Linked DNA regions of Ovis aries. The protein of the gene in region 1 interacts with the protein of each later gene in a biochemical or structural test. Links are inferred from orthologs where the notes say so. Each region holds a gene or a part of one and is shown in the gene's direction. Other genes may lie near its edges. The genes, in order: RPA1, PRPF19, RAD51, CDK1, ATM, RFWD3 and ATR.

Region 1 (4,191 bases):
ACCTGAATGGACTTGGGGAGCAAAGACCACTTCTGAAGTACGTAGGATTTCCACTCATCCACGGGCAGATCCATGCTACTTCAGACCTAAAAAATGAATAAGAAAACAAGGAATTCAGTTTTCTACAAATGCATAATTCCAGAAAATCGATTTCATTCAAGCATGCACCACGAGGCCACAAAATCAGATCTTGTAGTCTCTTCCTACAGTTGTTTACATGCCAGGGAAGGATGTATCCTCTCCCGCACCAATTCACATCCCTTCATTCAGAAATTATTTACTGAAAACTGACTTTGTTCCTGGCATCGTACTAGGGAACGGTTATACAATGATGAATCAGATTTCTTACATAGTTCAGTTTTTTCTTTTCAATCCCGAGGTCCCTTCTTTAGTTCAAGCCCTCACCATTTCCTGTCTGGCATTCTTTCTCGAGTGTCATAATTAGTCTTCAGGCCCTCAGACTATCCCTCCCTGTTCCCCCTTCCCAATTTAGTCCATCCTCCATACTGAGACCGATGTCAATTCTCTGCCTTAAATTCACTGATGCTCCTCCTAGAACTTGGGGAAGCCCAGTACAAACCCTTTATCATTTGACCCCTGACCTACTTTCTGATCAAGTCTCGCTTTTTCCTCTATACCCTACTATCCGAATTTGCACACATCCTTCAAGACTCAGTTCAAATGGTTCCTACTCCGAGAAGCCTTCCCTGATTTTGGCACCTGTGACGACAGGCGCACACTTTGCGTCTCTCCTGGGACCCAAACCACGTCTACACTGAGTTAAGGCTACTCACAGCAGAAACTCCCTCGACATACTGTGCTCCCCTCTGGGAGTAGGGACCAGGTCTTATTTACCTTGAGAGACCCCCCCCACTGTGCCCAGTTCAGGGTCTGGCACCTGCGGGAGCTCAGCTCGGTGTTGCTGAAAGAAGCGAGTCACTGCTTCGACTACTTTCAGTAGCAGAATTATCAGGGAACCCCTCGAACACTCCTCTGGGCTAGCAGTCTATGGCTGCCCGCCGAAGGCCGAGCGCGGTACGTTTCCTAGAGCCCGCGGGGAAAGCTCCCGGAACCCCTCCGCCCTGCGCCCTTGGCGGCGCCCGCGTCACGGTTCGCGCGCCCCAGCGCTCGGCGCCCCGCCCCTAGGCCCCCGCCATCCCGCAACAAGGCTCGGGACCCGGACTCCGGTGGGTCACGTGAGCCGCGTGCCGCGCCTCAGCCAATGCGGCGGCTGCTTGGCCCTGAGACTGCCGCGTGCCGTGCGCACGTCGGGAGGCGGGGGCGGTTCACGCAGCTCCTCCGGCCAATCGCCTTGGAGCGCGCGGGTCCCCGGGAGTAAAGCCAGGCTTGTGTTGGGGGAGCCGGAGCGCGGGAGTTGTTGCAGCGGAACCATGGTGGGCCACCTGAGCGAGGGGGCCATTGCGGTGAGGCGACGCCTGCGAGCTGGGCGCGGTCCGGGGCGGCTGTGGGCCCTGGGGCCGTGCGGGTGGAGGAGGGGGAGAGAACACAGGAGCCGGAGTGATAGCGGGGGTTGGGTAGGAACCCCTGGATGACTCCCTAGAATCATCAGTTAACGCATTTTTATCGTCATCTTTTTCAACATGCTCATGTTTTTCCTGCTTCAGGAATTGAAACAAAGTAAACGATTGATCTTCCCCCATCTCTCTCCTGCAGCCACTCTTTCTTCTTCCCTTCCCCCATCCGCAGCGAAACTTTTTGCAAGAGTTGTTAGTTTTCAGTTCTTTTCCTCGCCTCGCATTCCCCTTTAACCGACTCGAATTAGTCACTCTCCTCCCTGATCGCTGTAACCCTGGCTGAAGTCAGCAGTGCCTCCTGGGGTTGTTAAGTCCAGCAGACACTTTGGAGATCTAAATCTGTCAGTTCTCAGCAGCGTTTGACTATCGGGCAAAGCTTTCTTCCGGTAGCATCCTCTTCTAAGACGGGAGAAAATCCGTCTTATTTTCAGCTTGGCTTGTCTTTCCCCGTCTTATTTTCAGATCCTTCTGTAAATTTTTGTTGACTCAAGGCTCAACCCTAGGCCCTCTTCTCCCAAAACAATAAAATTACCGTCTCTGTGTCAGTTGCTCACAAGTTTTTTTTTGTGCAGGGCCAGCTTTACTCTGAAAGACAAACCTCTGTCATCTGTGTACTTGATAATCTCAAAGACATTTTAAATTCAACATGTTCCAAAGAAAATCTAATATCTTCCTAAATTTGGGCCTCTGCTGTCACCTGTCTGGATGCATGGCACCATTATTCATTAAGTTATGCCAGCTAGAAATTGTGGAATCATTCTTCCTTTAAACTCTCACCCTGGCTGTCACCCTACGTAAGTTTGGTCTGTTATGCCTTCACCCATGTCTCTTAAATCCAGCTACTTCTCTCCAGGCACCATTGTTTGTGCCTGGCCTTCTTCCTTTAACCCAGCATAATCTTCCTCCTGCCATTCCCAACACGGCATATTCCTACCTGTTCTTTCCTTTTTTTCAGCTTTTTAAAATGTAAATTGTAAATTCCTGGTATATTTCATACTCCTGCCTTCCGCAGGGGCTTTGAACATTCTTTAACCTGTGCCTACTGCCTGGGTGGTGCTTTTTTAAAAAAATTATTGTCATTAAATTTTTTATTTTGTATTGGAGTGTAGCCAATTAACAACGGGGTGTTCTTCATTCTTCTCCTGTTGACTAACATAATCTTCAAGTCTCCACTCAGTTACTTCCTCAAAGAACTCTTCCTTGACTCAGTTTGCTAGGCTTAAGTCCTTTTATTTTCCGACCCTAATTCCTGCTTGTTCACCTATTATCTGTGATTTCAGGCAAGATATTAAACTTTGTCTTTCCTCTTCTGTCACAGGCTAATCATACCTAGTACCTGTTGCCTGTGATTAGTGGAGGGATTAAATGAGCTATTAATTTAAAGTGCTTAGTCCATGTCTGATACATAATATATGTGCATTACTTGTTACCTGTTATTAACAGTTGCAGATATGATTTTACATTAAATATTGTTCATTTCATTAATGTCAGTTCCTTTCTCTCACCCCCCCGACTGGATTGTAAATGCTCTGAAGCCTGAAATCTTGTCTGATTTTTTTTTTTGCCCAACACAGTCTCCCCGATTCCTGGAGCAGTGCTAGCAGGTATTAGGTGCCCAATAAATGTTTACTACTTGCGTGTGAGGCAGTGAAAAGAAAGGGACAGAGCTGGATGGAGAGGCACAGTTGGCAAAGCGGAGTGAATATTTTATTTTATTTTTTATTTTTTTTGGCAAAGCGGAGTGAATATTTTAATACATTAAAAATAATTAACCTTTAGAAGTGATTGCAAACTGTAGTCCTTGTCTCCTTTATAGCTGCAACCTTGCATCTTTAAGACAAATTAGGAGTTCTTTACTTTTAAATTAAAACAGTGACTAAGGTATTATTTAAATAATTTGCTGAGTTTTTGTCACATTCAAAATTGTAGTATTACTTAGATCTTGTTCATAAATGACAATGAAAATTTATGTGTGTGTTTTGGTAGAGAACCATTGTCAAATTTCTCATCTAAAGCAAGTAATATTTTAGTTCAAAAGACATAGACCCCCCCCCCCACAAAGGGCAAGCAACTAACGCACACAAATAGTAGGGACATTTTCAGCAAGAGCTAACATAAGAGATTATTCATGGAACTATTGTGGTAAATAGAACAAATAGTATTTCTGTCTTAAGTAATTAGGTAATACAAAGAGAGGGGAAGGGAACTAATATTTTTTATCATTTCCAATGTGCCAGATATTTCATTATAGTCAGTACTTACAGTAACCCTGTAAGGTAGATTTTTATCATTAACCCCATCTTACAGACGAAGAAATTAAAATACAGAGAATTAGTTTGTGCACGAGCTGAGGATTTGAACACATACTTTTGAGCATTACCTTCTGTTGCTTTGTATTTTTTTTCCTTACAGTTTTATGGAGATGTAATTGATACCGCACTGTGTACGTTTAAAGTGTACGGCATAATGATCTGACTCACATCGTGAAACTGTTACCACAATCAGTTTAGTGAACACCTGTCACCACACACACATGCAAAAGGAAAAATAGTATTTTTTTCCTTGCCATGAGGGCTCTTAGGACTTACTCTCTGAACAACTTTCATATTTAGCATCGTTAATTATATTAATCCTATTGTATATTACATCGAGCCTG
Region 2 (4,053 bases), on another chromosome or scaffold:
GCCACTGTAATGAGAGTCCACACACCATAACAAAGAGTAACCCCTGCTTACTGCAACTAGAGAAAGCCCTCTCACATCAGTGAAGACCCAGCGCAACCAAAAATAAATAATAAGTTCTTCGAAATAAATTATTATAGCTATCCCAGAGGGACTCAGAGGAAAATTACAGGGTGCTGTGGGGACTAAAATTCAGTCAGGGGTCAAGAAAAGAGACTCCAGAGGAAGTGCTATTTAGGGTGAGATTGGATTTACTTTGGAAAGGATGGGAGGGGTGGGGAGAAGGGCAGGGATTGAGGAAAGTGTTCCAGGTGAAGGATCTGGAACCAGAGTGGATAAGTTTGAGGGCTTGAAAGGCCAGTGTGTCCAAGAAGCAGATGACTTGCCCAAAATCACAGAGCAAATTGGTAGTAGGGGCAAGACCAGAAGAGTTTCTTAGCCAGTGTTAGCTTCTCTACCCATGTGTATCTTCGTCTTCACTGGGTCTTCCAAAGCTAATCCTCTGAGAAACACTTGCCAGAGAAACACATGGGGCACGAACTGAAAATGCAGACTCTCTAAATGAGACCCCAGAAAAATGCATTTTTAAAAGTTCCTTAAGAAATTCTTACAGAAACTAACATAACATTGTAAAACAATTATCCTCCAATTAAAAATAAATTAAAAATTTGAAAATAGAATAAAAAATTATGGAGTACTCAAAAATAGACATAAAATATGCAAAACCACTATGGACAATAATATAAAACTATACTGAAAAAATATTACAGAAGACCGCTTCCCTGGTGGCTCAGACGGTAAAGTGTCTGCCTGCAGACAGGGAGCCCCGGGTTCGATCCCTCGGTTGGGAAGATACCCTGGAGAAGGAAATGGCAACCCACTCCAGTACTCTTGCATGGAAAATTGGGTGGACTGAGGAGCCTGATAGACTACAGTCCATGGGGTTGCAAAGAGTCGGACACGACTGAGCGACTTCACTTCACTTCAAGTAAATCAAAGTATACCATGCTCACGAAATAAAAGACTAATAGCATTAAAAATAAAAAAAAATTCTCATATACTCCAATATTTGCAAGACAGTCGTTCCACCGCCCCTGGCTCAAGAGTGCAGCTAAATTGATTGGCTTTAAGGTCCCAGTGCATTAAGGGAAATGTAGTTTCGAATCTCCTCTCCCAGCCATTGGAGCTTTACGAAACTAGCCGAGAGGGCCCGGAAATAGCCGAGTATTTCCTGGCGCGCCCTTTCCTGCCTGATTGCATTATGGGAAAGGACAGTTTCCGTTAAATTCTGGAGGCTGAGGCGCGCGACTGGCCACAGTCCCACGTGAAGCCATTCGCAAGCATCGCTCCGCGGGGCAGCTCCCCGCTCGCAGCGGAGCGTCTGGAAGCAGCGAGGGAACTGGAAGTGTCCCGCGGGGGCCCAGTAGCTGATCCCGGAGTCCAGTGTGAGGAGCCTCGGAGTGCAGCGAGGGCGCCATGTCTCTGATCTGCTCTAGTGAGTATCGGCTGCGGCCGCTCGCGGGGCGCTGGAGGCCGGAGAGCTGAGCGTGAGGATCTGCGCGCCTCTGCGGCGCCGGGGTCGGGGCTGGACCTGAAAAACGGGGCTCCGGGGAGGCAGGGCGGCGGCCTGTCAGCCCGGGGGGGTCTTCCTCCTCCAGCGTGAGGTCAGTTTGCGCAGCGCTTCATAGTTTACATAACGTCTCCGGTGCATTCTCGCAGGCTGCACAGAGGCAGCCCATCTCGTTTGCGCAGTGGATATGAGGCTTGGATAGCGGGGAGCTGGTGGTGCAGGGGAAAGAGCTCTCTGTAGGAAGCAGGAAGCCAGAGGGCTTGTGCAGGATCCGCCTCCAGCTGGCTTTGTGATCTGGCTCCGGGATGCGGTCCTCAGTTTCCCCAACTGCAAAAATAATGGCCTTGGCACTGGATGTGTTGTCTGAGGCCCCGCTTGGGTAGGCAGCGCTTCTGCAGTTTGCGAAGATCGCACAGTGAGTTGGAGGCGGTGACAGGCCTGGGAGCCAGACCAGCCTCACCCTGTAGGGCTGATGAAAACAGCTGCACATTTGGAAAAGCCTCTGTTGGTTTACAGCGTGCTTGCAAAACTGCAGAGTCGTTCTGTCCCCACAGCAATTCTCCAAAGCAGAAATAAAGATCCGGTTTTACAGATAAGGATGTAAGGTTCAAGGAGAAATGTGGCTTTTGTAAAACAGTACAGCTAGTTAGTGGCAGAGCTGTGTGACGAAGCCAGTTTCTCTGATCCTGAATCCATGCTTTTTTCAAATGCTTTGTCCTGTCTTTTGGATATGTTATTGAGGAGAGTGGTTGTTCATCAGGTTATTAGTTTCTCATTCTTTTCTCTCTCGGCTTCCTAACTCTCGAGCTCTTGACTCTTCTCAGAACCTCCCCATAAATCCAAAATAAAGGAGAGAAAGAGTGAAGGGAAATGTGACTAGAAAAAGAGTCCTTAAGCGTTAAAGAAATGACAGTGTGCAGAGTATTTTCACATTCATTGTTTCAGTCCTGAGGAAGGTCTTTTCAGTATCCATCAGCTGGTCTGTTAGATGTTTCCTGAGCATTTGCCAAGCACCTGCATTGTACTGGAAGTCAGAGAGCAGCTACAGTCCCAATCCTCAGGGATGTAAATGGATACTTCTGTTGGGGAGTGGTGAGGATGATTTCATCAATGGAAAGTGTTTACAGTGGAGCTTGGCGCCTAGTAAACACCATGTAAATACTTTGTTATCATAGCACTTGTCACATCGGTTTGTAATGTGTCCGAGAATCCATCTAGGTCCTAGTCTGAGACTTGAATGGCTTTGTGTGTATCTTCTTGTCCTGCTATATAATGGGTGCCTAAGCGTTTTTGTTCAGAAATGAGATGGGCAGGAATTATTGACTGCTCCCTAGGTGCCTAGCATTTAGTAGTTGTGCAGCAATTATTTGTTGACTACCTAACTGTCAGAGACTGATGGAGAAGCTAGTTAAGTGGCTGGAAAGCATTGTGGGTACAGTCCAAAACTGGCTTGGTGTCATGTCTTGATTCCTGTTAGCTGAGTGTAGGGAGCAAGGTCTTGTGGAGGCCAGCCGAAGGTGAAGCGTCCCCTTGGCCCAGGGTCCCTGTCACCACCCCAGGCTCACCACCTGCCTTTTCTCCGCAGTCTCCAATGAAGTGCCAGAACACCCCTGTGTGTCCCCCGTCTCTAATCATGTGTATGAGCGGCGGCTCATTGAGAAGTATATTGCAGAGAATGGCACAGATCCCATCAACAACCAGCCTCTGTCCGAGGAGCAGCTCATTGATATCAAAGGTGCCTGCTGGCCAGCCCCAGTCCAGGCTGTCCTAGCCTAAAGCCTGGGAAGGTGGGAAGGGTGGCGGGTGCATAGCATGTGGGAGCCAGGGGAGGAAACGGTGGTCTGTTAGTGCTGAAGGGGAAAGAAAGAATGTGGGAGGGCCAGCATGCCCTAGGTCATGGGTTTTCACACCCACTTTGTCTCTCTTGGCAGTTGCTCACCCAATCCGGCCCAAGCCTCCCTCAGCCACCAGCATCCCAGCCATTCTGAAAGCCTTGCAGGATGAGTGGGTGAGTCCCCGAAGAGAATTTATATTTTCGCGACTTGAAAAGAAGGGATCACTGGACTAGGACATGGGTGGGGATGGGAGGGATGGAGCCTTATTTTCTGTTTTGAGGGGAGGGTGAGAGCAGAGAAGCCTGGTTCTTAATGTCACACAGATCTGGGCTCCACCCTTTGCTCCGTTGCCCACTTGCCACGTCCCTTGGCAAGTATCCAAGTGCTACTTTTCCTGACCATATTGCATGGATTAGTACCTGTCTCAGGGTTTACAGAGACTCAGAGTAAAATTAGAGTATGAGCTTCATGGTGTCAGGGACTTGTTTTACTCATTAGAGCCCCAGCAGTGAGAACCAGGTTCACAGCAGGTGCTCTAAATATGAATGAGTCAAAGACTGCATCTTGAGGACTGCCTGGCTCAGTGCCTGACGCAATGAGAGCAGTCAATAAACAGCAGCTGTAGTGTTTTTATTCCTTTCTGGTGAGGTG
Region 3 (3,500 bases), on another chromosome or scaffold:
TGAGTATATTATTTGAATTGACAATTAAACAATTGCCAGTCTTCTTGGAGTCTCTAAATTAGTTTATCATTTATTTGCCAGAGAGAAAATAATCCTAGAACTAGAACTTACGAGTAAACTTTTTAAAGAGAAATCATTCTGGAAATTTTGTTAGATGTTACCTCTTCCCACTACATGCCTGATTCTTACTTTACTAAGTGTATTTCATCAGTTTGACATTTCTTATTTTTCCCCAGACTGAGGCAGCTAAATTAGTTCCAATGGGTTTCACCACTGCAACTGAGTTCCACCAAAGGCGATCTGAGATCATACAGATTACTACTGGCTCCAAAGAACTTGACAAACTGCTTCAAGGTATCGTAATCTCTTATCCTATGTCATGAACTATGGTTAACAAAGCATCCAGGTTATAGAACATAACTAAATTATTTGGTTCATGTTTATGTGTTAGAATTAAGAAATAAAGGAAAGTATTCCGTAAGACTGAAGGGTGAGGCTGACTTTAAAAATACGAAAATTATCTGCCAATTCAATAATTTAATCTCCAATTAATAATTGCATTCTTGAGAGTCATCTCCCTCTGCCTAAAGAAATAATATAATCTTTTACTCTACCACAAGGTAGAGAATCTGATGGCTGGTTAAAATACTACACTGTAGTATCAGCACGTTGTGGTGCACACTAATTTTCAGGACTTGATGCAAAGCTGTAAAGTTTTTGAACTTTTGAAAGCATCGCTGTCCTAAATTTTAGTGTTGGGTTGGTTCTTGCTGCTTCCCCAAATATTTGATCATGTAAGTTTCTTTTTTGGGGGGCACAAAATAGCATGAGTTCAGGAGTCACACTCAGATTTGAGCGTTTGCTTTCCCTCCTGTTCCCTCTCTGGTGCAGATTACTTATATTCTATGCCTCAATTTTCTTATCTTATTGAAGAAGAAAAGGTCTTACCTTTGACCTCATAATGAGGTCAAAAAAAGCTTCCTACCTTATAAGTTATTGGAATTAAATGAATTGATAGCACAATGACAGATACACAAAAAATACTTGGTAAATGTTAGATATTATCTATAATTTATTTTTTAAATGACTGCTTATTGACTTGTGATGGTATTATTCTGTATATTGGTTGTGGTGATACTTACATGAAGCTACAGATATGATAAATCGCATAGTACTACACAGACACACAAATGAGTGCATATGTAGCTGGAGAAATCGGAATAAGCTCTGTGGATTGTATGGATGTGAATTTTCTGATATTTATACTATAATTATATAAAACATTAACATTGGGGGAGGCTGGATGAAGAATGCATGGAACCTCTATATTTCTTTGCAGTTGTCTATGAATCTAGAATTATTTCCAAATGAAGTATTTTTAAAATTACTGCTTATTGAAGATTGGGTCTCTAAATTATATAAACATCTCTCTGATGAGCTACTGGGACGTTTCTATGGTTATGTTTCTAACATTTGTATTGTGCCTTTTTTAGGAGGAATTGAGACTGGATCCATCACAGAGATGTTTGGAGAATTCCGAACTGGGAAGACTCAGATCTGTCATACATTGGCTGTAACATGCCAGGTGAGCTGTTGGGGCTCTGCCTAATCATATCAGCAAGAATGAGTTGATTCCTGCTACTGGCAAGCATCTGTTAGCATGGACCAAAAAAGCACTTTCTCTGTCTTCAAAAATGCGAGGGGGACTTTCCTGGCAGGGCCAGTGGTTCAGACTCTGAGCTCCCTCTGCAGGGGCACAGGTTCAGTTCCTGGTAGGGTATTGAACCTGTGCATGCTGCGTGACTCAGCCACAAAAGAAGAAGAATGCTGTGGCTAATTAGAAGACAGGTTGCTACTGTAGGACTTCCAGACAGCTCGGAAACTTTCAGATTATTAATTTCACATACATTCTTGCTATCCACTAGGCCTCTCCTGGCTTTTTCTGCCCTCTTCACTAGTTTAGATTTATGATTCTTCATTAAAGTCATTCCTTTACAGATACCCTCAGATTTACACTCCCCATCTGAAGAGATGCCGTTCTTAGATGAACCCTATCTGTTTTCAGTGCCTGATTTCCCCAATAGCTGATCATACTAGAGAAAAATCTTAACATAAAGCTGGTTGACCTCACTTTAAATTTAAGATGACAGGCTTTAACATTCAATACCGCTTGGCAGATCTCCTGAAAATTTTTCATTCAGGCAACGTTTTCCTCCACTCAGTAAGAATCTTCGTAATTTCTCCTTTTTCCTCAAAATTTCATGCTTCTCTTCAGCCTCACTGTTAGCCAAATTAATCTAAACTGTTCTTCACATCAAAACTATAAACTCACGTAGCTTTTATAAAAATTTTATGAAGTATAGTTGATTTACAATGTTATGTTAATTTCCGCTATCTAGTAAAGTGGTTCAGTTATACTAATAAGTACATTTTTTTTTCATATTCTTTCCCATTGTGGTTTGTCGCAGGATTGTATTTGTTTATCTGGCTGCATTAGGTCTTAGCTGCACCATGCAGCTTGTAGGATCTTTGTTGCGTCATGTAGGATCTTTCACTGCAGCGTGCGGACTCTCTAGTTGTGGCACACGGGCTAGGTAGTTGCATTGCTCAGGTTCCGGAGCATGCGGGCTCTAGTTGTGGCCATGGGCTTAACTGCTTCACAGCATATGGGATCTTAGTTCTCCAGTGAAGGATCGAACCCATGCCCTTTGCACTGCATGGTGGATTCTTAACCACTGGGTCACCAGGGAAGTCTCTTGTAACAGAACATTGAATGTAGTTCCTTGTACTGTATAGTAGGACCTTGTTGCTTATCCATTCTGTATAATACTTTGCAGCTGCTAATCCCAAACTCCCAATCTATCCATCCCCAACATCCCCCTCCTCCGACTTTTCTCTATGTCTGTTTTGTAGATAAGTCCATTTGTGGTACATTTAATTTATTTTTTAAAATATAAATTTATTTACTTTAGTTGGAGGTTAATTACTTTGATCACATTTTAGATTCCATGTGTAAATGATATCACATGGTGTTTGTCTTTCTCTTTCAGACTTAGTTCACTTAGTGTGATAATCTCTAGGTCCCTCCATGTTGCTGCAGATGGCAGTATTTCATTCATTTTTATGGCTGCGTAGTACTCCATTGTATATCTGTATAGTAGTCCATGGAGTAGTATTTCATTGTATATATGCACATCTTCTTTATCCATTCATCTGTCAGTGGACATTTAGGTTGCTTCTATGTCTTAGCTGTTATGATAGTGCTGCTGTGAACACACGGGTGCATGTATCTTTTAGAACTAAAGTTTTGTCTGGGTATATGCCCAAGAGTAGGATTCCTGGAGCATATGGTAACTCTATTTTTAGTTTTTTGAGGAGCCTCCATACTGTTTTCCACAGTGGCTATACCAATTTACATTCCTACCCACAGTGTAGGAGGGTTCCTTTTTCTCCACAACCTCCCCAGCATTTGTTATTTGTAGGCTGTTTAATGAGGGCCA
Region 4 (4,147 bases), on another chromosome or scaffold:
CTTTAAAATTAGTACCCTAAACTAGCAGAGAATAGTCTTCTCTAGAACACAGTTTTCATTTTATTTAAGGCAATTTAAGGCAGTTTTCATTTAAAATGTGAATTTGAGATTTTAAAAATAAGTTTTAAAAGTTATTAGGTTCAGGCCAAGTTTTCCCAAATCTCGTACTTCTACTATGAATTTAAAATATTCTGTCACCCAGGAGCACAAAATTGCCAAGGTTGAGTGTTTGTGCCACATATAGGGGGCCATGTGATAAACTTATTCCATTCCTTATCCTAATCTGGATCATCAAACACATAGTTGTAGAGGGCATGGTAATCAGTATTTGTTCCAGATCTCGATACAGTCAGTGGAAAGACTCTTACTATCCTCAGTTCTATTTTACTTTTTTATTTTCTTAAAGACTTAAGAATGATGTTCAGGTGCAGAAATCTCTTTAGGATATGGTGGAGGGCAATGAAAGAGTTTGGGGATACGGGATTATTTAAAGTGTAATTTAGATCTTTTTCTTCTCCCACAGAAGTGTGAATTTTTGTGTTTTTAAGAACATTTAAAATTCTGATGTGAGAATATTTTAACATTTAAGAAAAGAAAAATTTTGCTTTTTAATTTTTAAGTCAAAATGTTACATAGATTTTAAAAATGAAATTTAAAACAGTGAGGTGAAAACAGCTCAGCCATATATGTGTGTGAAATGTGACAAAAATGTATCTAACTCATATTCATATATATATTTATATATATATGAAAAGTTTCTTTACCCTGTTGAGGACATCTTTCCTAGTTTTCTATTACCTCTTTCTATTAAAACAAACTTTATTTGTTTTGTTTTTTGGCTGCCTTGAGTCTTAAGTTGAGCATGAGGGATCTTCCCCTTGGGACATGCAGAATCATGCTCTTTGACCCAGACTGAGATTCATTATTTTAGAAAAGCATAAATATACATTAGCTTTCAGTATCAGAAATGAAAGTAATGGGATCTGGATTACGTGTAGCACCACTTCTGTGATGAACTATTTGAATACCTCAAATTTTTATTGTGCCAATATTGGGAGAGAAAAAAACCCAACCCTGAGAGGACAGTAGATTTCTTATGACTAGAAACAATAAGACGACCCTATCTTGGAACGCGCTTGCGCTCAGACTCAGTTGGCGCCCGCCCTTCTGCTTTTTCTCCAGCCGCCGTTTCCTCCACCTTTCGCGCTCTAGCCACCCGGGGAGGCCAGCGTTAAGGGAAGCTAGGCTCTGATTGGCTCCTTTAAAAGTCTACGGGCTATCTGATTGGTGAATCCAGGACCCTTTAGCGCGGTGAGTTTGAAACTGCTCGCACTTAGCTCCAAAGCTGGCGCTTGGAAGTTAGGGAGAGCGTCGCCGACTTGGTAGCCGCCGCAGCTTTCGCCGCGGGATAAAGCCGGGTAGCGTTGGTGAGGTCAGGGTGTTGCCTATGGGGTGTCCACTCGGAAGGGCTGGCTCGCGGACCTTGGAGGGGGAGTATTAATGAAGCAGGTGATAATTGGGAGGCTGGGCTCTGGGCAGTGGGGTTCTGCGTACCGCCAAGCCCGGCCTTAACCGGAGGCCCCGGGCCTGCGCATGGAGCGACGCCCAACCTCGGCTTCAGTGGGAGGCGTGGGGGAGCCCAGCCCGGCCAGGCAGGGTTGGCATTGCTGTGGTCTCTGAATTGCAATCTGGGGTCGCGGGCGGCTGAGGAGGCTTTCTGGGGTTGATGGAAGGCAGATTTGTGCCTTCGTTCGCCGACACCAAGCGCTTGTGGAGTGCCAGGCTCTGCCCTGCAGCTCCTAGCTTCGCCTCCGGGAGTGGAAAGCAAGATTGCAACTCAGCCCGGTGCTCGGGCCTGCTTCTAATCCCAGGTGGTCACGGGAAACCGACCGGAAGAACTAACTTGTGGGCCTTCTCAGCTTGCCTCTCTGCTCCCATGACCCTAGCTTACCTGGAGCTTTTAAGAACACTTATCCTGGGCATAGACCCCGAGAGAACTTGGATTTTTTGGATTTTATTTTATGCTTGGTGGTTGTTACATACAATGGAATTGGCAAAAACTGGAAATCTAAGAAACGCCGAGAGTTAGAAACGTGTCATTTAAAATCCTTTAATCAGTTTTAACGTGCAGGTCTTGCTTTCTTTAAAGACCTGGAGGTGTCTGGGTGGATGAAGCCATTGGTATTTTACATCCTGCCACTAGGAATAGAGGAGGCATTCAAAAGGCATTACGAAGCCACATCCTTTATTTAAAATAGTTGCAACCAGGGAAAGGTGAAAGAGTAATTGAACCCAGCTTTGAAATTGAGTTAGTTTTCAGTTATTTTGTTTAAAATAAGCTCCACAGTTTCATTGTGATTTGGGCATATTACAGCTGGATATTGAAGAAAAGATAGTTAGTCCTAATCCATTGCCATTTGTAAAATTGAACATTTTTAAGATGGCCAGAGTAGTGCAATTTTGTTTATTTAAAAAAGTTTATCTCTGCTTGTGTCTGGAATGATTTTGAAAAAGAATGTGAGAAATTTAACTCAAGGGTCAATGTAACTTAAGGTTCAGTGACCTTTATGATTTTATCAGTGATATAAAATGATGGTTTGGGCTTCTGAAGTTGATGTTTCCATGGCAAACTTACCAGGAAGTCTTGAGTATCTGGTTGTCATTTGGGCTTTTTTTTTCTTAACCATTTTTTTGTGTGTGTGATTCAAGTATATGGACATTCTTTGTTCTTGACATTGCATGGGATATAATTAGACTTTATGTATGGAATTGCCCATTTTCTTTTAGAGTGCTTAGTGATATTTCCTACTTTACAAAAGGTATCTTGAAAGTTTTTTTTTATCATGTTTGTGTTACGTGACTCCTGACAACAAGAGAAAGATAAAAACTGTCATTTGAGCAAGTTGAAATGAATATACTTTTGCTGCTTTAAATATTTTCTAATGGTTGAACAGTGTGACCACATTTTAGCTCCCTACTCATGTCTTTAAAAATTGTTTATTAACTTCATAAAAGTATCATGAAGCTACAAATTCAAGTAGCATTCATTGCTAAACTATTTGGGTATAACTGGCGCACATTGATGAGCCTTGGAAGTCTTATGTAAAGAACATCAGGGTTTTCTTTGGGACGGATAGATGTTGATGTCTGAATTTGAAAGTTAATTTTGAAAGAAGCCCCCAGGTGGCTCTAGTGGTAAAGAACCTGCCTGCCAGTGCAGGGAACATAACAGACAGTGGTTTCCATCCCTGGGTCAGGAAGGTACCTTGGAGGAGGGCATGGCAATCCACTCCAGTATTCTCGCTTGGAGAATCCTATGGCAGAGGAGCCTGGCAGGCTCCATAGGATCACACAGAGTCGGACACTGAAGCGACTTAGTATACCAAAGTTATCCAGGTATAGGATATACAAATATTTCCAATGTTTCAGAAGCTAAGAAAGGTGGGAGAGTCTTGAGCTCTTCCCCTTGTAAATATTGTTTTAATAGAATAGCTAATATTATGGAAAAATTTTTAAAAATTTATTTGTATTTGGCTGCACTGGATGTTCATTGCCACAAGTGACTTTCTCTAGTTGAGGCAAGTGGATGCTACTCTCTGTTGCGGTGCACCAGCAAGGTGCACAGGCTTCAGTAGTTGTGATGCTTGGGCTTAGTTGCCCTGTGGCATGTGGAATCTTCCTGGACCAGGGATTGAACCTGTGTTCCCTGCATTGACAGGTGGATTCCTATCCACTGCACCGTGAGGGAAGTCCTATTATGGAAAGTTAGTACTGCTCTAGGCACAGTGGGAAATTCTTTACTTGTAATATCTTATCAATAACTTAAAAGCACCCTTTGAATTGGTGACATGTGATCAAATAAGCTTTTCTTCTCATTTTAGGATCTACCGTACCCACTGATTAACTATGGAAGACTATACCAAAATAGAGAAAATTGGAGAAGGTGAGTGGCTTTAATAATATACAAGGAATTTTAAAAATGATTTAATGGTTTGACATGTAAATATTCAAATTCAGTTTTTAAAGTATCCAACAGTCATTAGTACATTAATATATATGTTCTCATATATATATGCTATATATAGTAGCATAAGCAAAAAAAAAAAGTTAACCTTTCAAGAGCACTGAAATTATTCTGACATGTCTC
Region 5 (3,500 bases), on another chromosome or scaffold:
AGTTTATTTTGAGGGTAGTCTGGAAAATGATGATGACAATGTTCTAATTAGGATATTGTATGAGTACTATGTCTATATATTTATTTTCTTTTGGCATCTTAATGCAGTAGAATAATTTTCAAATTATTTGTACTTTTTTTTTTAGGTTACAAATCGCAACTCAATTAATATCAAAATATCCTGCAAGTTTACCTAACTGTGAGTTGTCACCATTACTAATGATACTATACCAGCTTCTACCTCAACAGCGACATGGGGAACGCACACCATATGTGTTACGATGTCTTATGGAAGTTGCATTGTGTCAAGGCAAGAGGTCAAACCTAGAAAGCTCACTGAAGTCAGATTTATTGAAAATCTGGATTAAAATTTGGTCTATTACTTTTCGTGGTATAAGTTCTGAACAAATACAAACAGAAAACTTTGGCTTACTTGGAGCCATAATTCAAGGCAGTTTAGTTGAGGTTGACAGAGAATTCTGGAAGTTATTTACTGGGTCAGCCTGTAGACCTTCATGGTAAGTTGACTATTAATTATATTTTGCAGCATATATTTCCTGATTTTTGTAATTTCTAACTTCAGTTAAAAATATGTTAAATTCTGTTTCAGATTCTTTCGTTTGTTAAGGAAGTCTTAATAAATAAGTTTGAAATATGAAGAGATTACTAAACCCAGTTTTAAAGATTACATATCTGTTTGCTCATAAATAGAATAAACTATTTCTTTTAGTATTGCATACTGTTACAATAAGATAGTACTTAGTCAAGAATTTTCTCAAATGTAGTCGAATTTTTTGTGCTCATTTAGTCCATAAAAGTTTATATATCTACCGTGTGCCAGGACATGTCCTAAAAATTGACCACAGAGTAGTAAAGAGATACACATGGTCCCTGTCCCTCTAAGAGCCTAATTGTTTTAAAACTGAAGTATAGTTGATTTACAATATTGTGTTAGTTTCTGGTATATAAGCAAAGTGATTCAGTTTTTTCTATATGTGTGTGTGTGTGTGTGTGTGTGTGTGTATATATATTTGTTTGTTTGTTTCGTATTCTTTTCCATTATGGTTTATTATAGAATGTTGAATATAGTTCCTTCTGTATATAGTAGGACCTTGTTGTATATCTATTTTACACATAGTAATTTATGTCTGATAATCCCAAATTCTTAATTTATCCCTCTCCCACCTCCTTTTCCCTTTGGTAACCATAGTTTGTATTCTATGCAAAAAGTTTACTTTTAATATTAATTGTCTTTTGTTTTGCGACAGTCCTGCAGTATGCTGTTTGACTTTGGCACTGACAATCTGTGTAGTTCCAGAATCAGTAAAAATAGGAATTGAGAAAAATATATGTGATGTAAGCAGAAATTCTTTAAAGGAATTGATAATGAAATGGCTCTTATTCTGTCAGTTAGAGGATGACTTTGAAGACAGTACAGAACTACCTCCAATTCTTTGCAGGTAATTTGAGTTCCTTAGCATGCTGCTGCTTTTAAAATTTATTTTGTAAGGTGCTCTCCATTTCTTATTTGATACTAGATGGCTTTATTTTGCAGTGATTTTCCAGGATTTTCCAGAATTAGTCCTAACTATTAAGCAGTCCCTTTGTTTTTATAGTGTTCTGTGTCTTTGTACCTGAATCTTTGCCCAAGTTCTTTTACTTTGTTTTCTCTCACTACCTAGACCAGTGAGAGTTACATGTTTATGATTGTCCCTGAATAGGTCCATCTGAACATACATCCACTCAGGTATATCGTGGAATCATAAGGAGAATGCTTTCTGGGCTAAATATGTTAAATTAATGAGGGAAAGAAATGAAAAAAGACAAACTGGTACCTAAGCACTAAAATGGGGAGCAACTTGCCCACTTAACCTTTCCTCAGTCAGTAATTGGAACTGAGTGATTGAAGGGGCTCCTCTGGATCCTAGTGATTTGACTTTAATTTCACAGTTGTTTAGGCTCTTTGAAAATTGAATGTGGTCCTATATCTAGAAGTCCTGAAAATGATAGTAACAAAAAGTTTATGTTCCTTAAGTACTTTTTCAATTGTTAAGAAATTTAGTACAGATGGAAACAGTTTCAATTTGGGGTCCAAATTTTAGAGATCAATATTTTTAGTTAAGCGTGGGCGTTTAAGTTTAAAGAATGCTTTAAATGGCTTTTGGTCTTTTAAGTAAAGATCTATATTTTTACTTCATAGTAATTTTCCTCATCTTACCCTGGAGAAAATTCTCGTGAGTCTCACTATGAAAAATTGTAAAGCAGCGATGAATTTTTTCCAAAGTGTGCCAGAATGGTATGTTTCCTAATGGAGTTCTGTGTTGTTTTAATTAACAAAGATAATAATTTTAGCAGAGTGGTAGCTACATCTTAAAAATTGTGAACCAAATTGGTCAATTAAAAAAATTATAACTGTTAGGCAAGGGAAAATTTCTTAATTAAAATTTCTTAAGTAAAATTTCTTAATTAAATTTCTTTTATTTCAATAATTATAATTTATGTTCTGTAATGTATTTATGATGGGATATTAAGAACATAAACATCATGTGGGAAAGGGTTTTTCTATATGTCAAATAAAATCTGAATGACTACTTTAAAAACTAATGATAATTTAGTATAGGGAAAACAAAAATCTAAAAACCCCATTTTGGTCGATTGGCTTCAGAGGCTTATGTTTATCACTGTGACTGAAAATGATTCACTGGCATGAAGTTTCTAGTCTTTCTCAAGAGGGCATAATACGAAATAAATCTACATTTTGGAGAAATGTGAAAAAAAGGGAAAAGTTTTCAGACAATTTGTTTTTCATTTTCTTTTCTTTATTTATTTGTGTGCCTCGAGTCTGAGTTGCGACACGTGGGATCTTTTATTGTAGCATACAGACTCTCGGTTTGGCACGTGGGCCCGGTAGATGAGCTCTCTAGTTGTGGCAAGCAGGCTCCAGAGTGCACAGGCTTAGTGCTTGCCACGTGAAAGCTTAGTTGCTCCACTGCATGTGGGATCTGACCAGGAATCAAACCTGTGTCCCATGCATTGCAAGGCAGATTCTCAACCACTGGCCCACCAGAGAAGTCCCTTAGATAATGTTATTCTTAATGTTTATATCTATTGTTAATTAATGTTTTTTTGATATTTCCTGAATTTGCCTTTTAGATTGAATCTTTTATTTCTCTTGTCCATTTGTTAGTGAAATTGCTACTGAATAATGAAATTCAATGTAAGTAGTTATCAAAATCCAAAGAAGAAAAGCATTTAAAAGAATAATTCACTAATTACATGAGCAATCTTTGAATAAAATAGATTCAGTGTTAATGCTAAGTTAATGTTTTATTTGATGCTGTATGAAGGTAAAATAGTAGACAATTTGATCTTATAAATTTAAAATCTTACTTCTTTAAAGTGAGCAACACCAAAAAGATACAGAAGAACCTTCATTCTCAGAAGCTGAAGATCTGTTTCTTCAGACAACTTTTGACAAGATGGATTTTTTAACCATTGTGA
Region 6 (3,500 bases), on another chromosome or scaffold:
TATGCTGACCACTCCAGTCTGGCCTCTACTCATCACTTTGGGGAAACAGCTCTTTTCTAGATTATCTGTCACCTCTACATTGCTAAATCTAGTGGTCATTCTTCCCCTCAGTAGCACTTGACACACTTGACTGTCCCCTCCTTGCATCATTCTTCCAAGACACCACACTCTCCCAGGTTTTCTCCTACCTCATGGTCTTGGTTTCTGGGTTCTCTTCCTATAACTGTTATCCTTTTAATGTCTCTGGTATTGGTCCTTGGCCTGCTTTTCTTCTATCTCAACTCCTTCTTAGGTAGTTAATCTATCCCAAGATTTTAAGTGGCATGACTATACTGAGGATTCTTAAAGCTGTCTACTGTTCCATCTCCACTGCTACTAGTCTTGCCTCTGTGACCACTAGTTTATACTCTCATAATAGCCTATGAAGTGGTCACTTTGCCTGCACTTTTCCTCCCTTACAGTCCATTCCTAACGCAGAAGAAACTCCTTACCAAGGTCTTCTAGTGAAAGTGTTGTGTATCATCAACTTTACTCCTCATATTAAACCTCATACTGTCTGCTCTTTCTTACTATTCTCGTTATGCTGGGCTTCCTAGTTTCTCTGACGCACTAAACCCATACTTAGCAGACACCTTGTATTAATTTTCTTCTGAAACTCTTTCTTGGCTCTTCATACGGCCAACTTCTTTTAATCCTTCTTGTCTTGGTTTAATTTTCACTTATAAGAGGCCACCTCTCACTGTTGTGTCTTGCCCCCCACTCTCAAAACCAAATGGCACAATATATAATTTTTCACAATGATTTGTTTATTCTCTCATTTGCTAGAATGTAAATTGTATTATGCTGGGTCTTGTCCACTTATCTGTTTGCCTCTGTGGAGTGTCTGACTATATGACAGATGCTTAAATATTTCTTGAAAAATAGACTAACGTAGTGGAGTAGAGACAGGAAACAAATAATGAAAGGAACATAACCAGTGCTTAATAAATATTTGTTGAATGGACTAACAAATGGACTTAGAGATAGAAAACAAAAGTAATGAAAAAGTTGAAGTAAATAAAGGTTGCTCAGCCTTTTTGGAGGAAATAGGTTAATTTCTATTTTGAGTTATTAATTGAGTTATTTTGTGGAAATGTTCTTTCTGTGTTTATTTTTTGCACTTTAGTGCCATGAAAGATGAATATTGCCTACTAAAATTAAATATAGCATTGTATGCATTTGTTGTAGTAAATGTCCATATATAGGTCATGACAGAACTGCAAGAGGTCTGGGGGATTATTTTCAATAGTTCAGTTCTCTTATTTTATAGATTCTTTTAAAGACTAGTGCTGTGATCACATGACTTTATGTTTTCGAAGGGCAAACAGGATAACTGGTTAAAAGTCCTTATAAGAAAAGAGCTAAAATCATCTTTTAAGTTTCTCAGTTTTATCAAGAATGATCTTAAACAAGTATTAAATGATAGACATAATTAGATAAAACATGCCACGTAGCTGATACATTTTACTAATACTTTTTACAAATATTGCTTCCTCAGTGATGGCTCATGAAGCAATGGAATATGATCTTCAGGTGCAATTAGATCATGGTGCTGCAGATCAGCCTGCTCCTGCGGAAGTGGTCAGCAGCCAAGGGGGACCACCCCTGCTCCAGCCTCCTCATACTGAGGAGGTCAGCAGCCAGGAGGGACCACCCGTGTTGCATCCTATACTTGCTGAGGTGGTCAGCATCGAAGGAGGACCACCCCTGCTCCAACCCATTCCTGAGGAGGTGATCAACAGCCCAGAGAGAGTGCCGCTGCTTCCGCCTATTCCGCAGATATCTGTTGATCTGACAGAGGAAGTGGAGCTCTCAGGAACAGAGACTGTGGGGAACCTCAATCCAGGAGTTTTAGAGGAGTTTAGGCTGGAATCTGATGCTAACCGCACTCCCCAAGTGCCTTCATTGGATTCAATGAACAGCTTCATCAGTGGGCTGCAGAGACTTCATGGCATGCTGGAATTCCTGCGACCAACTTCAGACCGCAGTGTGGGGCCCGTGAGAGCGAGGAGGAATAGGAGGAGTTCTGCTTCACGGAGGGCAAGAGCAGGAGGGTCCCAGAGGACAAACAGTGCCAGGTAAATAGAAATGTAAATAGTGGGATTAGTACCTGATTGGGAATTATGAACTTTAGGCCCTGATGATAGCCCCAGTGCTGCCAGGAATTGGCATTGTGACTTGGCAAGTCGGGTAACCTTTCGGAACCCCCAGTACCTCATAAGTCAGATGAAAATGAAATTACTTGGTTTATTTACTTCACAAAGTAGTGGAGAGGATAAAGGTATACAGATAGGTTTTGAAAACTTGTTGGTAGTTTGTTAGCAGTGGTGTCTGCAGAGGCTGGCTTTTCTTTCGATCATTTGTCTCTTGTACATCAAATATATACATATATATATTTAACTTGCAAGTCCACTCCACTTGCCCAAGATTCATTGTTCATTGGCACTCCACTTAGTGGTACAGTAGATTTTGTAAGATGGGCAGGCTGGATTTAGAGAACCCTTGTGAAAAGTAGAGTGTGAATTAATATAGAACTTATCTGACTAAGTGGGAAACATTCTAGCCCTCCTCTCCTGAAACTGTGTTGTAGAGTTAAAAATAATTTTCTTCTATAGGTTTTGGTTTGAACTTGCCTCTTGAAGGGGTTAGCTGTCAAGTCTTGACAGTTATTATGAAGAATAACAGTTGTCTATATTTTAATCTGTTTTTTAACTTCTGCTTTATTTGAAATACTTAGTTCCACAGCTGGCTTTCTAAATGTCTTCATAATGTTGAAAGAAATTGAATTCAACCTTTTCATTTTAAATGTGAAAGAAACTTGGACCCTGAGAGAATGATCTATTCAGGGTCTCGGAGTTGACAGTACAGAGGAAGTTAGAGCTGATGTTGGAACCTGGATCTGACTGTTGTCTACAAAAGCAAATAAAGGAAGCTTCAATCAGATCCATTTCTCTAACACTGTGAAAATAATGAGAGGCTTCCATGGTGGTCCCGCGCCTAAGACTCTGCACTCCCAATGCAGGGGGCCTGGGATCAATCCCTGGTTAGAGAACTTAATCCCACATGTGGCAACTGATAGTTTGCATGCCACAACTAAGACCCGGCACAGCCAAACAAATAATAAAAAATAAATATTGAAAAGAATGAGATGGCACTAAATAGTGGTAGCTGGGCCATCTGTTATCTGTGTTTTACAAATGAGGAAGATGATGGGGTGATTTATGATTTGACTGAGATAACCCTGGACTTGGAATTGTGCCTTCTGATTTTGGATTTCAGCATCCTTTTCAATGGATCCTGCTGATTAGTGTATCAGGGCTGCTGTTACTGTGGCTGTAGTCTCTAATGCCTGGTCAGTGCTGGATGTGATCCATCAAGGGTGAGAAGAGCCTAGTTCTGTGTTGACAGGAGTTGCAAGTGCATGCTGCTCTGTTATTTTAAGGTGCCATTTACAATGATTT
Region 7 (3,500 bases), on another chromosome or scaffold:
ATTATGGATAAGGTACTCTGTTTTAAGAAAGGTTCACTCAAGAAAGGTTCATTCTGAAAAGTTGGGAAATGTTAAAATACAGGCTTTGCTCTGTGCTAGTGGTGTAATCCTTAAGAACATATTCCAGTTTAACTAAGCCTGTTTACTTCATCTATAGAAGGGTGTTTATATATACCTCATTAAGGTTGTTATAAAAATTAAATGAATTATTCAGGTAATATGTTTAGAACTCTGATACTGGCCTTTATGTTAGCCTAAAACATAATAGTTAAATGTTCTTCCTTGTGTGAAAACTAACATCATTTTGCTCTAGTTTTTGGTAGAATCCCTCCACTCCAGTCAGATGACGGCACTTCCTAGTACTCCATGCCAGAATGCTGAGATGCGAAAACAAGATGTGGCTCACCAGCGAGAAATGGCTTTAAATACCTTGTCTGAAATTGCCAATGTTTTTGACTTTCCTGATCTTAATCGTTTCCTTACTGTACGTTGCAAAGTATAGTTGACTTTATTGAGGTTTTCAGTTCAGTATTTTGTGTTTATTCCATTCTCTCTCTATTTTTTAAAAAAATCTGGTATTGTTTATTATCTGGCAAGTATAATGAGGACCATAGATTTTCAAATTTACATGTTATCTTTTGACTTTGATATAATATTACTTATGTTATAAAAGTGAAATATGTGTTGTTTTGAGTCATTGCTCTTTATGGTTAGCTATCTTGAAAAGTTAATACTAATTAATTAATGCTAATTAATTCCATTTACCAAGCATTTATGTCTTTAGTGCTATGATGGGTTTCGTTGGTAATGCAAAGTCTAATATGATCATATCTATCCCTAAGTAGTGGGAGTACAAAATAATGCTATAGATAACATGTGAATTCAGATAATCAAGTTTGTAGTATGTAGTGGTTTGGGAAGCCTTTGAAAAGTCATTAGTGGGGCTGAGGTTTCAAAGATGGATGGTGTAGGTTATCTTCTTATGTGTTCCCAAAGGCAAAGTTTATTATTATTAGTTAATAAATTATAATAATGATCTAGGCAAAATTTTTCTCTACAGAATTTCATATTTTAACAAAATTAAATTGTGTGTAAATTGGACAAATCTTAGAAGAAACTATGATACTGTGCTCTAAGGACCACAAAGATATTTTTAACCTTTTCATTTAGTAATTTCATCTGGGGACCTCAAAGCAGAGGTTTACTGCAGCATTATCCAAGTATCAAATAAACAAAACCCTGAGAAGAAACTTAAGTATCTAATAATTAGGTCATAAAATATTATGCACTGTAATACAATAATTATAAATACTTGGTAGAAACTACCTTATAATGTCCAGTCTTACTGGATTAAGTTGAAAGACATAACACAAATAAGGTGTAAGTACCTCTGAGGGTAGGGTTTGGGTCTTGTTTATTGTCATATCTTCAGTGCCTATAATAGTCACTGACATGTAGTAGTTGTTCGTTAGATATGTGAATAAATGAAAGGCCAATCATTTTATGTTTGGAATTTTATATATTATTTAAGAACAAGATCTTAAAGGAAATAGACCAAAATCAAAATAGATTTGTTGCCATGTTGGGATGACAGTGTATTAAAAAGGTTTTCTTTAATATTGTAGCATCAACTTCTTTTTTTTTTTTTTACACTCAACGTATTTTATTTTATTTATTTTTTTAATTTTTATGTTTACTTTATTTTGCTTTACAATACTGTATTGGTTTTGCCATACATTGACATGAATCAGCCACGGGTGTACATGAGTTCCCAATCCTGAACCCCCCGCCCTCATCAACTTCTTAATTTGAAGAAGTTAGAATACTGTATTTATGGCTCCTTTTGTTTATTGTCTAAATACTAGTTAGATCAAATAATAAATCAAGCTTGAAACCTCTGCTTTAATTAAAAGCATGAATACATACTAATGAGAAATTATTTTCTTTGCCTCTTGAACATTAGCTTCTTTATTTCTATCTCTCCCCACCTCCAGTGTAAACTTCATACCATCAAGAACCTTGCCTATTTTTCACTGCTGTATCTGCAGTGCCTGTGCCATAGTAGATGCTCAGTACACGTCTGTTGAGTGAATAAGTAGTAAATCTGAATTCAGATATGTTGTAGGTGGACTCCAAATTTGGGTGGTATTTTTCATTATTTTTGTACATAGCTCATGTGAATATTTTATCACCTGGTCAAATATGCTTTTTGGTAATTGTAGTGTTTCTTTTTCAGAGAACATTACAAGTGTTGCTTCCTGACCTTGCTGCCAAAGCAAGCCCTGCAGCTTCTGCTCTCATTCGAACTTTAGGAAAACAATTAAATGTCAATCGTAGAGAGATTTTAATAAATAACTTCAAGTATATTTTTTCCCATTTGGTCTGTTCCTGTTCCAAGGATGAATTAGAACGTGCCCTTCATTATCTAAAGGTAATTGAATGTTTGTATATGTTTTACTCTTTTATGTAAATTAGTATTATAGGAAAGCTATTGTGACATTCTTATGGAAGTAGAGTGAGTAGTTTATAATTTATCTTAGAGTAATATAAGTTCAAGTGGTACATAAATAAGTATTGTCCTGGGCCAAAGGAGAGTATTAAATAGAAGTATTCTTTTGTTATTTTTTTTATTGTTTTACAGTGATGATATGTGATAGTCATCTATGCATGGATCAGCTTCTCAACTAATTTCATTTTAGAATTAATTGATTGGAACTATCAGTGACTAATGATAGATAATTATATCTGTCAGAAGAGGCAATATCCTTCAACTGTAGTATTATGACAGCATTGAATTTAGTTACTTCGTGCTCTGATTACAGTTTGGCCCACTTTCTTGCTAGTTTTCAAATTTAAAATTATAGCCTGTGCTGCAAATTTTGGTGTCGTAGTAGCAACAAAATCTGAGGAATAAGAGGCTACATGGGAACAAGAGAACCTGTCAGATATGCATATGTAACTATTGTTTTCCTCCAATGTTAATTTATTTCCTGTATTTCATGATATGCCAGCTATGGATCTCTTTCTACATGAGTCTTTTTGAGTATTGAGTGTATTTATTTATTTTGAGATAGAAAATCTGTGTTATGAAAGTGGAATGGTAACAGCATTCCAATGCTTACATGTCGGAAACTTTGCTAAGCAATTTTTATGGATTATTTCACTTGCGTAACTCCTCTCAGTTACCCAGTGAGATAAAGTACTATTATTTTTCCATTTTGTGGATGAGAAAGCTAAGGCAGAGAGAGGCAGAGCCACTAACTTGCCTCTCAGCAGTTATATTTCTTTGAATGTAATGACATTTTAAAACTTTATAAAAAACTATACTCCCTTTAAAAAATTTTATTTCAAAATAAAGTCTGATCACTTCTCTTTTTTACCTGTAGTCCATGCAAACCTACCAGGAAAATTCAAGATTAGAATCGTTTTCCAATGCCTTTTTAAATATTATTAGTAATTCTTGTCACCTGATCCAGAGTTCCTGATTAACTATAGCATAT

What was found.
Region 2: the proteins of RPA1 (region 1) and PRPF19 form a complex in vitro, tested with the Homo sapiens proteins (2 studies listed by BioGRID, with this or other methods). The link is inferred for Ovis aries from reciprocal best matches to the Homo sapiens genes RPA1 and PRPF19.
Region 3: the proteins of RPA1 (region 1) and RAD51 form a complex in vitro, tested with the Homo sapiens proteins (2 studies listed by BioGRID). The link is inferred for Ovis aries from reciprocal best matches to the Homo sapiens genes RPA1 and RAD51.
Region 4: of the proteins of RPA1 (region 1) and CDK1, one has a biochemical effect on the other in vitro, tested with the Homo sapiens proteins (2 studies listed by BioGRID). The link is inferred for Ovis aries from reciprocal best matches to the Homo sapiens genes RPA1 and CDK1.
Region 5: the proteins of RPA1 (region 1) and ATM form a complex in vitro, tested with the Homo sapiens proteins (3 studies listed by BioGRID, with this or other methods). The link is inferred for Ovis aries from reciprocal best matches to the Homo sapiens genes RPA1 and ATM.
Region 6: the proteins of RPA1 (region 1) and RFWD3 form a complex in vitro, tested with the Homo sapiens proteins (3 studies listed by BioGRID, with this or other methods). The link is inferred for Ovis aries from reciprocal best matches to the Homo sapiens genes RPA1 and RFWD3.
Region 7: the proteins of RPA1 (region 1) and ATR form a complex in vitro, tested with the Homo sapiens proteins (2 studies listed by BioGRID, with this or other methods). The link is inferred for Ovis aries from reciprocal best matches to the Homo sapiens genes RPA1 and ATR.

The regions. Positions count from the first base shown.
Region 1 is NC_056064.1:22,789,323-22,793,513, forward strand, and holds the start of RPA1 (replication protein A 70 kDa DNA-binding subunit), read left to right. Parts: upstream 1-1,391; coding exon 1,392-1,424; intron 1,425-4,191. Other genes in the region: SMYD4 (SET and MYND domain-containing protein 4), read right to left, coding at 1-74. UniProt on the Homo sapiens protein: As part of the heterotrimeric replication protein A complex (RPA/RP-A), binds and stabilizes single-stranded DNA intermediates that form during DNA replication or upon DNA stress.
Region 2 is NC_056074.1:34,605,910-34,609,962, reverse strand, and holds the start of PRPF19 (pre-mRNA-processing factor 19), read left to right. Parts: upstream 1-1,253; 5' UTR 1,254-1,473; coding exon 1,474-1,492; intron 1,493-3,152; coding exon 3,153-3,302; intron 3,303-3,498; coding exon 3,499-3,575; intron 3,576-4,053. UniProt on the Homo sapiens protein: Ubiquitin-protein ligase which is a core component of several complexes mainly involved pre-mRNA splicing and DNA repair. Required for pre-mRNA splicing as component of the spliceosome.
Region 3 is NC_056060.1:34,474,521-34,478,020, forward strand, and holds part of RAD51 (DNA repair protein RAD51 homolog 1), read left to right. Parts: intron 1-236; coding exon 237-354; intron 355-1,493; coding exon 1,494-1,585; intron 1,586-3,500.
Region 4 is NC_056078.1:15,814,874-15,819,020, forward strand, and holds the start of CDK1 (cyclin-dependent kinase 1), read left to right. Parts: upstream 1-1,347; 5' UTR 1,348-1,418; intron 1,419-3,881; 5' UTR 3,882-3,906; coding exon 3,907-3,943; intron 3,944-4,147. UniProt on the Homo sapiens protein: Plays a key role in the control of the eukaryotic cell cycle by modulating the centrosome cycle as well as mitotic onset; promotes G2-M transition via association with multiple interphase cyclins.
Region 5 is NC_056068.1:17,556,450-17,559,949, forward strand, and holds part of ATM (serine-protein kinase ATM), read left to right. Parts: intron 1-145; coding exon 146-517; intron 518-1,267; coding exon 1,268-1,459; intron 1,460-2,199; coding exon 2,200-2,295; intron 2,296-3,399; coding exon 3,400-3,500.
Region 6 is NC_056067.1:1,596,559-1,600,058, reverse strand, and holds part of RFWD3 (E3 ubiquitin-protein ligase RFWD3), read left to right. Parts: intron 1-1,537; 5' UTR 1,538-1,539; coding exon 1,540-2,117; intron 2,118-3,500. UniProt on the Homo sapiens protein: E3 ubiquitin-protein ligase required for the repair of DNA interstrand cross-links (ICL) in response to DNA damage. Plays a key role in RPA-mediated DNA damage signaling and repair.
Region 7 is NC_056054.1:247,100,564-247,104,063, forward strand, and holds part of ATR (serine/threonine-protein kinase ATR), read left to right. Parts: intron 1-313; coding exon 314-484; intron 485-2,236; coding exon 2,237-2,431; intron 2,432-3,500. UniProt on the Homo sapiens protein: Serine/threonine protein kinase which activates checkpoint signaling upon genotoxic stresses such as ionizing radiation (IR), ultraviolet light (UV), or DNA replication stalling, thereby acting as a DNA damage sensor.